2 linked regions of the Rhinolophus ferrumequinum genome follow. The protein of the gene in region 1 purifies or fractionates together with the protein of each later gene. This does not show direct contact. Links are inferred from orthologs where the notes say so. Each region holds a gene or a part of one and is shown on either strand. Other genes may lie near its edges.

Region 1 (6,835 bases):
CGGCCAGAGGGGAATCCAGGCCCACGGAAGGGAGGCAGGAAATCCCCCAGCTCTGCGTCCTGGGGAATCCCACACCAGAGTCCAAGCTCCCGGGCTCCCCAAGCCAGGACCAGGCCTGGATGAGGGAGTCCCCACTGTGTGCTGGGCCGTTGTGGGGGAGCCATCAAGGAAGACCTAGGATGGCCCTAGTGGAAGCTGTGATCTGTCCCCTGCCTCAAGCAGGAACAGCAGAGGGACCCGCAACCCTCATGCGCTCCGTCTGCCAAGGCTCTGGCTTACTGCTGGGGCACCTCACCATATGTATTCACCCAGAACAGAGCCCAGGCATCCTGCCGTCAGCCCTGGATGCCAGCCCCTCTAGCATGGCTCACTCACCCATGTGCCAGGCACTGTGCTAATGCTGCGGAATGGCCATGAACAACTTAGCCCAGAGAGCAAAGGACACCTCGAAAACAGGGTTCCAAACCGTTGCTGCTGGACGGAGTAGACAGTCAGTCCATCCTGGAAAGCCCCTGTTCCCTAAGCACTCACACGCAGAGCCTGGTGGCACATACCACTCAAGAAGCGTCCCTGGACACCTGTTTTTATAGCCACAGGCTTTAGCATCCTGTCTGGAGACTGATCAAGAGATGGTGGGGGGTGGGGAAAACCAGGCTGCCTGGGCCCTCATGGCCGTGTTTATCCAGGGTAGATTTTTTTTTAACCCAAAGGTTAAAGTGTTTCTATTTGAAACATCTATTTACATTCCAGAGTCCAAAAAAAAAAAACAAGGCAGCCAAGCTCAGGCCTATATCTGTCCCCAGCCACGTCACAGACACAGCATCAGAGTTGCGCAGGGGGGAACATTCTTAGCCCTCTCCCCGAGCCGCTGAGGTGACTCACGCCTCCCTCCTGCCAGCATGGACCACGCTACCACTCAGAAAGCTAGGCAGTGTGTGTGTGTTGGGGGGGGGAAGGGACAGGGACCAGGCAGCCTTAGGGAAGGGATGGGGGTAGCAGGGTTCCATCCTGCAAGAATCCTGGAGCCTAGCTTGAAAGAAGATGAGAAAACATGCTGAGGAAGAAACTTCAGGCCAACTGCCAGGGGTTGCTGGGAGGCAAGGGACAGCGGGAACAAGGCAGGGTGGGTGGGCTGATAGGGCATCTGCCAAATGGGGCAGAGCTGCCCCCAAGCAGATGCTCTGCACAGTCAGTCCTTTGCTTTCCAAGAGACGACCTTGACTCCTAGAGGCTTTGGAGCAGGGACCAGCAGGCAGGGTCTTTAGCTAGAGCTGCAGACTCCACTAGATGAGGGCTAGACCAGCTCCAGATGTTTACATCCCTTCCCAGGGGACTGGGTGGGGATTCTGTAGGGCCGGTCCCCAGGGTTATGCCCCTACCCTAGGAGACTACATGGGCATCCTTGCCCAGGCAAATGACAGGCCTTGTTCCAAAGGTTTTCCAAATCTTCCGAAAACATTCATCCTGACACATCCCAGTCTGGCTGCAACCTTATCCCTGGATGGTTTAAAGCCAAATCACAGCTCCCACCTTCCAGTTCAAAGCCTGGGACCCACACCCACGTATCCAGAAGCAAAGACTTCCCATACACATACACATACAGACATCCACACCCAAGTGCCAAGCCACTGCCAGGAGGGGCCAAGTGGGCATGAATCCAATAGGCCCCTCCCTCGAGGAAGCATCTTGTGGTGCCGGCCTGGTGGGGAGGCTGTGCCAGAAAGGCCTGATGCTGCCAACAGGTTCCTGGGAGGGAAGGAGGGAGGGAGTGGCCCAGCTCTGGGGGACCCCACCCCCAGCCAAGAGCCAAAAAAGTCCCTGCTGAGAAGGTGGCAGGGCTAAGAGGGTCCACATGCCCATATGAAGACACCTCTTTGCCCTCATGACATGGGAATAAACCAAGGCCTGGGGGAAAGAGACATATGGGGGAGCTAAGAGCTAAGGCAGCAAAGGTCCCTGACAGCTCAGCTGCTAGCCTCTGCCTAACTCCACCACAACTGCACAAGCCTCCTTGCCAGATATCTGACTCCCAGGGGACTCTAGACTGGGGACTTGCAGAAATCACTGCACGGGACGCTCTGCCCCTCAGAACCCAGCCAGAGGAGGTGGGGTAGTCTTTACTCTTGTGGACACTCAGCTCTGGCTTTTTCCCTTGCCCAGACGTGGGGGGCAGGCAGCCTGGAGACAGGTCACTGACCCACTTCCTCCCCTCTGACCACAGTGCCAACTACGCCAGCATTCTCTAGCCATCCACAGCCCCCAGCAGCTGATGCGGATCCTGCTGGGGGCCAAAAAGACTTGAAGGGATGTAGCCGAGTGCTGCTGGAGGAAAGGCAGGAAAACCCACCTCAGAGAGCGCGGCTCCACTGACTGCCATATTCTCAACACAAAGCCCCCCAGAGATATCTAAGCAGGACCCCATCTGGGCAAGGCTCAGAGCCAAATGCTCAAGCCCTGGGTGCCCAATGGCAGAGGGCAGGCAGGGACATTGAGGTACTTACCTGCCACAGGGATGCCGTGTAGAGGGGTCCGAGGAAGGATTTCCAAGGATGGTTCCCGGGCTGACATCCCATCTGCTGAGAAACAGGATTCTGTCTCATAGATGGTCTGCAGCATCTCCACGAGCCCCTGAGCCTTGGGCACCAGCAGCATGCCAGGGAAGGGGCCGCCAGAGGCGGGAGTCGGCCAAAGGGAAAGTGGTGGGGCGGGCGGGGCCCTCACTGCTCAGGGGCTCCCTCAGGCCCCTGCTGCTGGGACCCGTGCTGTGGGGAGGTGCCTCATCCGGCCCGGGCACTCCTGGCAGCAGGAGGAGCCAGAAGGCCCACGAGCTACAGCCCCCCTTTCTCCTAGAAGGGCATCCCACCGCCAGCCTGTCCCCAGCTCCCAGGAGCTGCGGTATGGCTGAGCACTTGGGGGACAGGAAGGGGAGCTCAGCAGGCAGGCGGGCTCTGTGTTCCCTCCCTCCCAGCGCTGGGTGACAGCTCTGGGCCTGGCTCCCTGCTCCTCCTTCCCGAATGAGCCTCCGGCAGCTGGCAGGAGACTGAAATAGCAGTTGGGGGAGGGCCCTGTCTATAAATAGGTGGAGCGGGCTGCCAGGAGCCCAGGCCTGGCGGAGGCCCCATGGGGGGAGGCGAGCTCCACCCCAGGAGGAAGCGCCAGGCAGGGGGATGGGAACAGAGGAGGGCCTGCACTCAGGGCCAAGGCCACAGAGCCCGTGGCCAGCGGCTGGGATGTGGAAGGGCACAGCCAGAGTCCCCATGCATCTGGGAGCAGCACCAGAGCTGGAGAGGGGCTGGAAACCAAACAACCAGATTCCATCCTCTATCTTCTCTCTCGCCATCCAGGGCAGGTAAAGGAATCCGAAGGGTCTGCGAGAGAGTGGCAGACAGGGCCACCTGGCCCTAACCTTGTGTTTTCCTTGGAGTCCTTCTAGCAGCCAAAATGGGTTTATTTAACTTCTGCCCTCCCTGAGCTGGGAGGTGCCTCCCCACCCCCTCAACCAGCAGGGAGACCCCCGAGCAGCAGCTAAATGACAGTCACCTCCAGCGGCTGCTCCGCTTCCCTCCAGGGGCCAGGAGACTCTTCCTGGACGGGCTTCAGCCCGGAAGGCAACCAGGGAGCACCTGCCCAGTCTCAGAGCACAGGGAGCTCTTCCCTGGCAGTGTGCCAGTTGCAATGCTAACAGTAGCACATACATTTAGTCTGCATGATGAGCTCGAGAGACAGGTGCAGACAAGGAAACTGAGGCATAGAGAGATGAAGTCACTCACCCTAGATCACACAGCTACTTAAATGGTAGGACTGGGATGTCTGAGCTCTATCACCACAGCCCACTGCCTCCTGCACGTGGGAGTACATGAAACTGCCCCAACATTTCCGTTAACAGGTACAGTGACCCCCAGTACCCAGGGAGGAACAGACTTGAGGTTGGAACCCCTCTAAGAACAGTCAAGAGGCTGACAACATCCAGCTCTTCCCCACCAGCCGCAGGCCTGGCAGAGGAACCCCTGCTCCTGGGGCACTGCTAGCACCTCGGGCCGGTGCCCCATGAGGACTGGTGATACCCACCTACCCGGCCCACTGCTGACCCGTCCCTTCTCCTCAGGCTGTGCCTCCCACTGGCACAGAGGTCCCACTTGGCCCCCTGACCTCACTGGAGCCTTTTAATAGCCTGGTTATTCCTGGGTCTGTGTCCCCCTCCCCCTTCCTGATGTCACAGTTGCTATTTTGGAGCCCCCTCCTGGCCCCTTCTTGCCCCCAACTGCAGGCATGGAGCCAGGGACACCTGTCCTCTCCCTGGACTGGATGACCTCACCCTCTTGTCAGGAGCCCGGGAGGAGCTGGCCAACCAAGGACACAGTGGCGGTGGCTCCTGAAGCCCATCTTCCCAGCCGACTTCTGCTAGCCAGGGATGACAAAGGTGCCTCCTGCCCTCAGGTGGGAGACCTTATGGATGGGGGAGGTGGCAGAGGTGGGCTTTCCCAGGCTGTAGACTGGCTGGCAAGATGTATATTTGGGGATGGGGTGTGGGGGAACAGGACCTAAATAAAGATCTGCAGCCTCACCTTTGGAGCCAGGGCAAACTCTAGAAAAATGGTGATGAAGCAGGGCGCTCACAGGGGTCTGGAGTGGGTGGACACTTCAGGATACGTCTGGGGCCCTCGTTCACCATTCCCAGCCCCAACCTCCTGGCCAACCAGGCTCTCTGAAGGGGAGGGGAAGGGAAGGCCAAGGTCCCTTCAGTGGGGTGCTAGGCAGCAGATTCAAGGGAGCCCAGAAAGCTGGGGCCAGCAGCCTCTCCCAGCTCAGTACTCCACCCACACAAGCTAGGAGCAACCGGAAGGGCTGGCTAGCCCTGTCCTGGCGCTCTCTGTCTGCCCCAGGCACAAGCCAGTAAGGTAGGGGAGCCCTGTTCTGGAGGAGAGGAAGTCACCTGTTACAATGACTCGAAGCAGAACCTGGAGTGTCCAGAAACCTAAAGAAAGAGAACTCTCTGCTTAGGGAAGATGGGAGCACCCAGGAGACTGACAGCCAGTCGTGGCCAAAGCCAGGGGCTTGGGGCAGTAACCAGCACTGTTACAATTTCCAGTAACAGCATGATGTGGGAAGCAAAGTATCAGACAGCCAGACAATCCTCAGTGCAGTTCCCCGAATCCTCCAGGGGAACAAGAGAGGACGCCTGACGTAGAGACAAGTGTCTTTCTTTACTTCTGAGATTCAGCTGATGCAACGAGATCTCCTAATGTCTAATCTCAATCCTTCCTGCTTTCTAGCCCCTCTCTCCTCGTAGTTCACGTCTCTTCTCCATCCTCAGCCATCCAACACCCCCACGTGTCATCCCACAAACCTTACAGAGCACCCACCACACGAGCCTCATTCGCAGCCGGCACCATCCCTTCCGACCCACAGTGACCTTGCTCCTTCCGGCGGAGGCTGGGCTCAGGTCTCCCAACCCCCTATACCTGGAAGAGGGGAACCCCATGCTGGCTCCTGGGGGCTCCTCCAGGCTCTCATTTCCTGGGCCCAAAAGGCTGGGATGAGGCCTGACCAAAAGGAAGAAAGCAATGTCTGCCTTGCGCACAGTTTGAATGCCAAGGGCTGGCCCAGGAGCATCCCAGATGGAGTGTGGGGTGCCAGCTTCTCTGGGGCCCCGGAGACATCGGCCTGCCTGCCCTTCAGTTCTCTCCTGCGCTTTAAGCCCAGTCATGCTGGAGCCCGTCGGCATCGCCTGGGAGCTGCCATGTGCCAGGTCCCATGCTAGGTGCTGGCTGAACCCTCTCATTTGAAACCAAGTCCAGGAAAAACGTAAACACCTACTTTGGCATCTTCCACATTCTCTCAGGGTTGACCCTGCCTCCTCCCACCGTCCCATTCTAAGCCTTCAATCCCTTTGGAATGATGGAGCAGGGAAGAGGAGGTGGAGCAGAACCCAAGCTGGAGTGAGCACAGAAATGCACCAAGTGGCACTTAAGTGGAGAAGGGACACCAGCAGTCCACTTCCCGGACCCCCAGCCCACGCTGGCACTGACCCACTTTCTCCTCCTCAGGGCTGGCTGCCCGCCTTCCCCAGGGGCTCAGAGGCAGAGCCTGAGCCCAAGGCTGGGAGGCAGGACGCCGAGGTTCCTGGCTCCACCCCATGCCCATGCCCCAGTTTCTCTGGTCACCCAGAAAGGAGGGGGCAGCTGCCCTCCCTCCCTCCCTCCTGGGAAAGGGAAGGAGAGAAAGTGTGGAGTGTGCTGGGAGGTGCTGGGCAGGCGGGTGTTGTCATGAAGCTTGTCTCCCTCCCACGCTGGGGACGAGGAACGTGGCCGCCTCCTCCTGGAGCCCTGTCGCCATCCAGACTGGCCTCACTCGTGCCCTCTCTTCTGGGCAGTGGCATAGAGGACAGAGCCGTGGCCAGAGCAGGCCTAGGTCACAGGTCCCAGGGCAGCTCCTCCAACCGGGTCGGGCCAAAGCCAGGCAGCAGACATACTCCGCCAGTCCTTCAATCCCACTGAGGGGAGCAGAGGTGATCAGCTCCAGAAAAATAAAGAAAGCCTAACTGCTTAATCCCCCTTTTGCCAGACACCCGCGAGCGGCGTGGCGTCCTCAGGGAAGCAGGCACTCCCATCAATGGCCCCTGCCTGTACCCAGGACTGCAAAAGAGGCGAATCAGGTCAAATGCTGGCGTTTGGCCCAGCCCAGAGGTAAGTCGATCAGCTCCCACTCCCTGGGAAGGAGGGGTAAGCCCCAGAAGTAAATTGCTCCGCGTCTCCACCTGCTGCCCCTCACCCAACACACCCTCTCTTACTAACCTGTTTGCTTATGAGGGCAAGGATGGACCACCTTCTAGTTT
Region 2 (7,749 bases), on another chromosome or scaffold:
AATATGGTGGCCACTAGCCACAGGCATCCACTGAGTACATGAATTGAGGCTAGAATGACCAAAAGGGACAGAGCCGTTCCTTTCATTGAATTCTAATCGACCCTCATTATGCACACGTGACTGGTGGCCGCCACATTGGACAACACAGCTAGAGAGGAAAACAGACGGTTCCTGATTCTATTGAGAGATGTTTATACGTATACACAGATTTCAATGTAGATTCTCGTTTGTGAGTGTGTGTGTGTGTGTGTGTGTAGACTCGTAATTTAAACAGCTTTTTTCTCCAAATGGGAAAATTCACCCTAGGTAGTCAGGAAGGCAAAACAAAAAAAGGCCAAGCTTACGAGCTGGGCTTTGGGAATCAGACAACCCTCCCTCCACGACTATGTATTGCCAAGTTACTTAACATCTTTCAGCGTCCTATGCTGTGGCATGGAACTTGCTAGTATAGAGTTAGGCCCGGGAATTCCTTGGGGCATGGCATTCAAGTCGCATAAAGACAACTGTTCTCTTTGCACCAAGACCAACAGCTAACATTTACAGGCCGCTTTCCATTCCAGTTCACATACATTCTCTTCCCGTCCTCACACTGCCTAGTGAGTACAGCGATTTCAGTTCTCCTTTGTATTTTTACACACAGAAAAGTAACGCTCAGCAAGGTGCAGGACTTCCAGAGCCACGGTGGAGCAGGAACAGGGTGGACTCGTTCAAATCACACAGGGATAGCCAAATGTCACTGGTCATGATGCAGTTGGACTCCAGGACCCTATTCACCACTGTGGGGGCCACAAAGCCCATTGAAAGTCTCCTAACAGGAGGCAGACTCATGATGTCATCACACAAACGGAACGCTGAAGCTCCCAGAGATACAGATGGGGGTCCAGGCCCAGAAAGACACCAAACATTCTCCTTACCCAAGACGCCCAACCTTTCAGGAAGGGTGGGGTTTGGCAGATTTAGGGATCCACGTGTGACATTTAAATGGGGGTGTTGATAGTTCCTGGACTGACCGAGCCCTGGATAAAAGCACAAGAGTCAATCCTAGAGGATTCGCAGACACGTGCGCTGCTCTTGGCGAGTGGCCCCTTCCCACGTCCCACTGTCCCCTAAGGGGGCCCACCTTGCTCCTGGTGTCCCTCTGGGCCTAGCAGAGTATCTTATCTGGGTACATTTTTGAATAAATGTTTATCCATCACTAAAAAAGGGGAGGTACCTCCTTACTAAGATACTGTTGTACAAAATCATGCTACGGATACAACTGGTGAAAGCACCCCAGATTTTGAAACATTCACTTTTGGGCATCTTCAATAATACGGTGATCATTATTATTGTTGTTATTTTGCAAACAGTTTCTTCTTTAAAACTACTGGCAGAGGAAAACATCACTAGCCCACTGAAGGGGCAAATGTACACCACCAAATAAACCACCAAAAATCCCCATTTCTGTCCCACAGGTGTGTGTACACGGAAGAGCTGGAATCCCCTTGAGGGGCTATTTTAATAAGTGGCTCAAGTGACGAACTTCAACTTTTATCCCTGGATTATTTACCCAGCTGGGTGGTTTTCCATCAAAATCTGCAGCACATTTGACACATAGCGTCCTTTAAAATAAAAGCGTCATCTTAACGTCGTAATTGTTCCATACTCCAACATTTTTTTTCCCCCTAAAAGCATCTTTTCTAGGAATGACTAATTCTAAACTTTTCCTAAAATCGTCCAGAGCCATTTGTACCCCAAGCCACCGCTGGGGACCTCAGCAGGGCGTCCCCCTCCCTCCAGGTTTGGAGTCCCGCCCCTGCGCTTCCAGGTTAAACCAGGGACTTGGGCGGCGCGTCAGGAGAGAAAAACATCCAGAAGTCAGGTCAAGCCACATGTGACAATGCAAAGCAGAGACAGCTGCAGATGCGATAGGGGCTGGGTGGGTGGGGGTTTTGTTGTTGTTGTTGTTGTTGTTTTTTGGGGGGTATGATCCACAACATGACCTCCGACTCTAACTTTCTGGAATTTGCCATGCAGTTGTGCGGGAAAACCCCAGGCCAAGCGAGGAGCGAGCCCCGGCCCGGGCCTGACCGCGCACGGGCGACGCACGCGAAGTCCAGGCCCCAACCCATCGCGGGCTGGCTTCTAGTGACCCCCAATTGTCACATGCCCGGCAGCCACCGACACCCGAAGACGCACCCCCACCCGGTTCCGAGGACGGGTCCCCAGTGGGGAAAGTCCCTCCGGGAGCAGGGCCCGGGACGCGAATCTGGGGTCACCCCTCCCCCTAGCCCGGGAGCAACAGGTCTGCACCCTCCCCAGGCCGCGCTTTGCAGACCCCGCCACACCAGGGGCGACCCCCACACACCGAAGTCGCCCCCAGCCAGGTCCTCTCGCTCGGGCCGGGGGGTGGGGGGGTTCTGACTTCCTTGACAGTTTCTGCGCCTCGGAAACAGAGCAGCCGCGGGGCCTCGCCCGGCACTCACTCCACGGCGCGCCGCCGCGCGGCCACCCGGTCCGGGGCGGGCCGGCCGGAGCCCGGGATGAATGGGGCTCCCCTCCCCCACGGGGGAGCCCGCGGCGCCGCAGCTTCGCCCACCAGCCCCAGGGGCGGCAGACAAAGGGGACCCGGGGGCAAATGGAGCGCCTCCCCAAACTTACCGGCCGCCTCCCACTCCCCAAAACAAAGAAGCCCCCCCACGCGCCGGCACTTTGGGGAGCGGCCCCCTCGGGGTATTGTTCAGCCTGCAGGGAGCGCGCCGCACCCCAACCCGAGCCCCGGGGACAGTTGGGGACCTGCCCCTCCAGAGCTCCGGCTGCGGGCGGAGCGTGCGGGCGCCCCGAGCCGCCGGCCAGGCCCACCCCCGCCGGAGAAGTTTGCGCCCCCCCGCCCCGCGCCCGCCGGCCGGGCCCCGCGCACTCACCTCGCCGCGGGCAGGGCAACTTGTGGGGCGCCGCCGCGCCGAGCCTCCCTCCGGCCGGCCGTCGCCGAGCCGGGCCGAGCCGCGGCCGAGGAGGGCCCGGCGCCCCGGAGCAGCCTCGCGCCGCCCCCGGGCCGCCCCCGCCCCGCCGAGTCCCGTGAGGCGCGGGCGCTGGAAAGTTTCGGTGCCGAATGGCGGCCGAGGGCGCTGCGGCGGCGGGGCGGGGCGGGGGCGCTGGCGGCTCTCGGCTCCCGAGCGCGGAGAGTGGGGGGGCCGAGGCGGGAGCGGCGGCGGCGGCAGAGGGCGGGACGGCGGGAGGGACCGGCACGGGCAGTGACCTCAGGGGGGAGCGGCCGCCGCCAGAGCGCCGACCCCGGCCGGGAGGACTGCCAGGGGGGCCGCCTCCGCCGCCCCGGCCCGCCCCTCCCCCAGCCCCCCACACCGGGGGAGGGGCACCCGCGTCCCCTCCGGCCCCTCCCCTGCGCCCTGGGGGACCGCGTCCCAAACCAGACCCTCCCCCACTGGGGGTAGGGACGCCGGGCCAGCCCCTCCCCCACGGCGGCGAGGGTGAGAGTCCGCGCCCCAGAACTGCCCCTCCCCCGCGGCCTCTAGGGAGGACCCGCGTCCCAATCCAGCCCCTCCTCCACGGTGGGGGAACCTGCGACCCTGCAACGTCCCTCACCCCAAGCTTCCCCTGCCCCCACGCCTAGGGTGGGTGAGGGGAAACCGGGCCTTTCCCTACAAGCTCTGAACCCAGTCCTTTCCCCGTGGCCTCCATAGGGAGGAAGGGAACGCGGTCTACCCCCACCCAGTCCCAAACCTCAGTCTTTACCCCACTGTCGGGGTGGCGGGGACCGTAACCGGGGCCACCACCCCCGAGGTTTCTCCATAGGGGAAAGGAACCCGGGCCGGTGCTAGAGTGTTACCCTCCCCCACCGCAAAAAAGAAACCGCCCAGTTGCCCTAACAGAACCCTTGTAACCTGCCCCAGGGGGCATGTCCCTCAAAATCCGCGGCTTAGAGGACACCCCAGTGTTCTCTCCCCCTCCCCAAAAGGTGGGGGCTCAGGTGGAGCCCTCAACCTTTGCAAAAACAGCTACAGGGAAGGGCCAGAAACGCGTGGGGAGAAAGAAACTCAGACACACGGAGGTGGAGGCCAGGAGCTGGGGTGTGGGGGTTCCGGGAGTTGGGGGGAACCTCCTCCCATCCTTATCCCCACCCCCACAAGCAGGCTTCAGACCTCCCTCGGGCATTTCCAAAGTGTTTTATGTTGCAATGGCTTGCTTGGCCCAGCCCTGGTGCCCCCCAATCCCCAGCGTCCCTTCCTCCCCTCCACTTCGGTGACCACTACCCACCCCACGCGGCCTTAATTCAATGAAATAGATACCCGCGCCCACCCCAAGCACCTTCAGTGTCTGCTTTGTTGAATATTTTAAAATAAGTGTGCCCCTCCCTTTGGTGTACACTGAGCTTCCCGCTAAGAGCCCAGTACACTCAGCATTTTAAAGTGTAACCTCACTTGCTCTTTTCTGGGACACTGGACCATTTGTTGTTCTGGTGGCCGAGGGAAGGGGGCCGGAGGTGAGCTTTTAAGGGGCTGGTCCTCCATCAGAAAGGCGGACCTAAGATTTACCCTGCCATATATTGCTGTAAAAGGTCAATGATGTAAAACGACTGTTGCTACACCATTATTATAGAGCACGTCAATAAAAAATCCACACTTACACAGTCTCCATAATTGTGAATCAGCAGAATAGATTGTGTCTTATTACGTATCAGTTGCCATTCAAGACCACCCCCAAAAGGACGTGGTGGGGCCTTCCCTCGAGCCTGCCCTTCGTTGCTCCCGGACTCCCTGGGCTTGTGCGGGCTGATGCTGAGAGGTATTACATGCAATCGAAAAACCGAGGGTGCAATAGAAAACCCGAGCGAGCTCATGATGCAACCCTGCCCCGGTTACACGTGCTTCCCCTCCCCCACCGCCTGCTGAGGGTAGCGCGGCGTTTTTTCCGCCTGTAGGGTCACATTGTGGTTGATTGATTCTCCTTTCGCCTGGCTCAGTCATTCAGATTTGGAAAGTAAATAACAAGTTGACATCATTACAGCTTTCGGCTTTACCCGGACGCGGCCCTCGGCTACCGCAGTCTCTCGAGTAACCGCGCAGCCAAACTGGCCCTGTCTGGCTTACCGGCTCTGCCTGTCTTTAGCCGCTTGGAAATTCCAAACTGAGCTTGGTGAAAGGCCTCTTGGTATGTTTTGATTACTTGGCAGATGCCAATCGTTTAAAGTGTGGGAAAGGGATGGAAATCCTCGCTCCAAACTATGACCCAGTGTGACCAGTTTTTACAGCTGTTCTTGGGTAACTAGCAATGCAGGTGAGCTCAGAATCTGCCTCGCCTGTTTGATAATGTCCCAATAATCCCAACGGTCTTCTTGCAAGTCAGCAGCTTAGTGCTTTAATCGTAGACTCAAAGGAACCCCACCCTCTCACCCCCATGGGACTTTGTAAGACCTCAGACAGGAAGAGACAGACTTATGTTTATCGTAATATCACCGAAATTCCTCTTTCTGAAATGCTAGATGGTGGTAGGTAGGTGGTAAATTAGACTACTTTGTTTTACTCTGTTTTGCAAATTTTGCAAGGGTGCAGTCCTGTAAGATGGGAGAAAACAAGGAAAGAGGGAAATAAATTAGAGCAGGAAAGGGACTAGTGCTTTCTGATAAAAGTAAATATGAGGTCGTGAACAGCAGTGATTTCTACAGGTAGACACAGCACAATATCTGCGTATTAAACAATTACTTTTCCTTGCTGACGGGAGGGAGCCGGAGTATAAGAATCTGCTTGCAACAAATGCTATCAGCATTCCCCTTAAGCAGTAGCCAAAATGTTAATTGAAAGACAGGAGGAACCCACACCAATATATTCAAATAATCTCTGGCAAAGTAGCAAAGGAATTTCAATGGCAAAAGAATATCCTTTTTAACAAAGAGTGCTAGAAAAACTGAACATCCATATGCAAAAAAAAAAATAATAATCTAGCCACAGACCTTCCACTGGTTTAAAAAAAAAAATTAACTCAGAATGTAGAAGGCAAAAGTATAAAACTCCTAGAAGATAACATGGGAGGAAACATACAACACCCAAAGCATAACCCATGGGGAAAAAATTTGATAAGTTGGACTTTATTAAAATTAAAAACATCTGCTCTGCAAAAGACACTCTTCAGAGCATGAAAAGATAAGCCACAGACTGGGTGAGAATATGATATTTGCAAAATTCGTATCTAATAAAGGATTATATCCAAAATATACAAAGAAGTCTTAAAACCCCACAATAGGAAAATAATCCAATCAAAATAGGCAAAAGAGCTGGGGAAAAAACACACAAAACACACCCAAGAGAGATATAGAGATGGCAAATCAGCATATGGAAAGATGATAACCATCGTATGCCACTATCGTATTGCACACGATAACAAAACACCACCATACAGCTATTAAAATGGCCCCAGAAAAGGTTTTCAATGACAACACCGAAAGGTAACAGCATGCACTCTTTGCTGGTAGGAATGCAAAATGATATGGCCACTTTGGAAGACAGTTTGGCATTGTCTTACAAAGCAGGCAGTCTTACACAATCTAGCAACCATGGTCCTAGGTATTTATCCATCTACATGAAAAACATCCACACAAAAACCTACACAGGAATGTGGATAACAGCTTTACTCATCAGCAGACACTGAAAGCAACCAGATGACCTTTGGTAGGTGATGGGTATGTCCACTGTGGTCCATCCAGACAATGGAATATTATTCAGCACCAAAAAGAAATCAGCCATCAAACCAAGAATGGATATAGACAAACCTTCAATGTATGCTGCTAAGTGAAAGAAGGTGATCTGAAAAGGGTACGTGCCATAAGAGTCCCACTCCATGACATTCTGGAAAAGGCAAAATTAAAAAGATCAGTGGTTACCAAGGGTCCTGGGAACGGGAGAGAGGAAGGATGAATAGGCAGAACCCAGGGGATTTTTCAGGGCAGTGAAATATTCTGTATGATCCTGTGATGGGTACGTGACGTTTTGCATTTGTCCAAACACGTAGCACTGTACAACACAAAGAGTGAACTCTAATGGAAACTATGGGTTTTATCAATATCGATTCATTAATTGTGACACCTGGGCCACACTTAGGAAAGATGTTAAACTGCAAACGGTGTATGAGGGGTGTAACAAGGAAACTGTGCACAGAAACTCTGTTCTTTAAAAAATTGTCTTTTTAGAAAAAAGGTCGTAGGAAGGGGTATTAAAGTTATGAGAGTTCTTGTGCGACTTACTGCCCAGTTTTCCTTGAATCCAATATCTGATTTCCCTCAGGCCTCAAGACCTTAGAAAACAGCTGTATTTGGAGCTACAGCCTTTCATGTTGGGTAAATAAGTTAATGCGGTCGTTAGGATGAGTCCCGATGCAATGTGACCAGAGTCCTTACAAGAACAGGAGACGAGGACAGAGACAGGCACAGAGGGAAGACCACACAAAGACACATGAAGGAGAAGGCGCTTTGCAATCCAAGGTGAGAAGACCTGAGAGAAACTTCCTGCCTCCAGGATCGTGAGGAAATAAATTTCCGTTGTTTAAACCACCCAGTCTGTGGTGCTTTGTTACCGCAGCTTTTGCAGACTAATGCACGTGAGTTGTTGCTATGTTTTTCCATTTGGAATGTTACCTTCCGTTCACATCATTAGAATCCTGAAAATACCTTGTATTTGGGATGGGGGTGTTCATGCACCGTATTGCATTTGATCCCCCCAGTAATATTGAAGGGCAGGGACTTTTTTATGTCCAATAGTC

What was found.
Region 2: the proteins of HDAC5 (region 1) and TBL1X purify together in Homo sapiens (affinity purification with mass spectrometry; 3 studies listed by BioGRID and IntAct, with this or other methods). This does not show direct contact. The link is inferred for Rhinolophus ferrumequinum from reciprocal best matches to the Homo sapiens genes HDAC5 and TBL1X.

What each region holds. Positions count from the first base shown.
Region 1 is NC_046304.1:39,223,829-39,230,663, forward strand, and holds the start of HDAC5 (histone deacetylase 5), read right to left. Parts: upstream 3,018-6,835; 5' UTR 2,653-3,017; coding exon 2,502-2,652; intron 1-2,501. UniProt on the Homo sapiens protein: Responsible for the deacetylation of lysine residues on the N-terminal part of the core histones (H2A, H2B, H3 and H4).
Region 2 is NC_046284.1:119,930,546-119,938,294, forward strand, and holds the start of TBL1X (F-box-like/WD repeat-containing protein TBL1X), read right to left. Parts: upstream 3,017-7,749; 5' UTR 2,904-3,016; intron 1-2,903. UniProt on the Homo sapiens protein: F-box-like protein involved in the recruitment of the ubiquitin/19S proteasome complex to nuclear receptor-regulated transcription units. Plays an essential role in transcription activation mediated by nuclear receptors.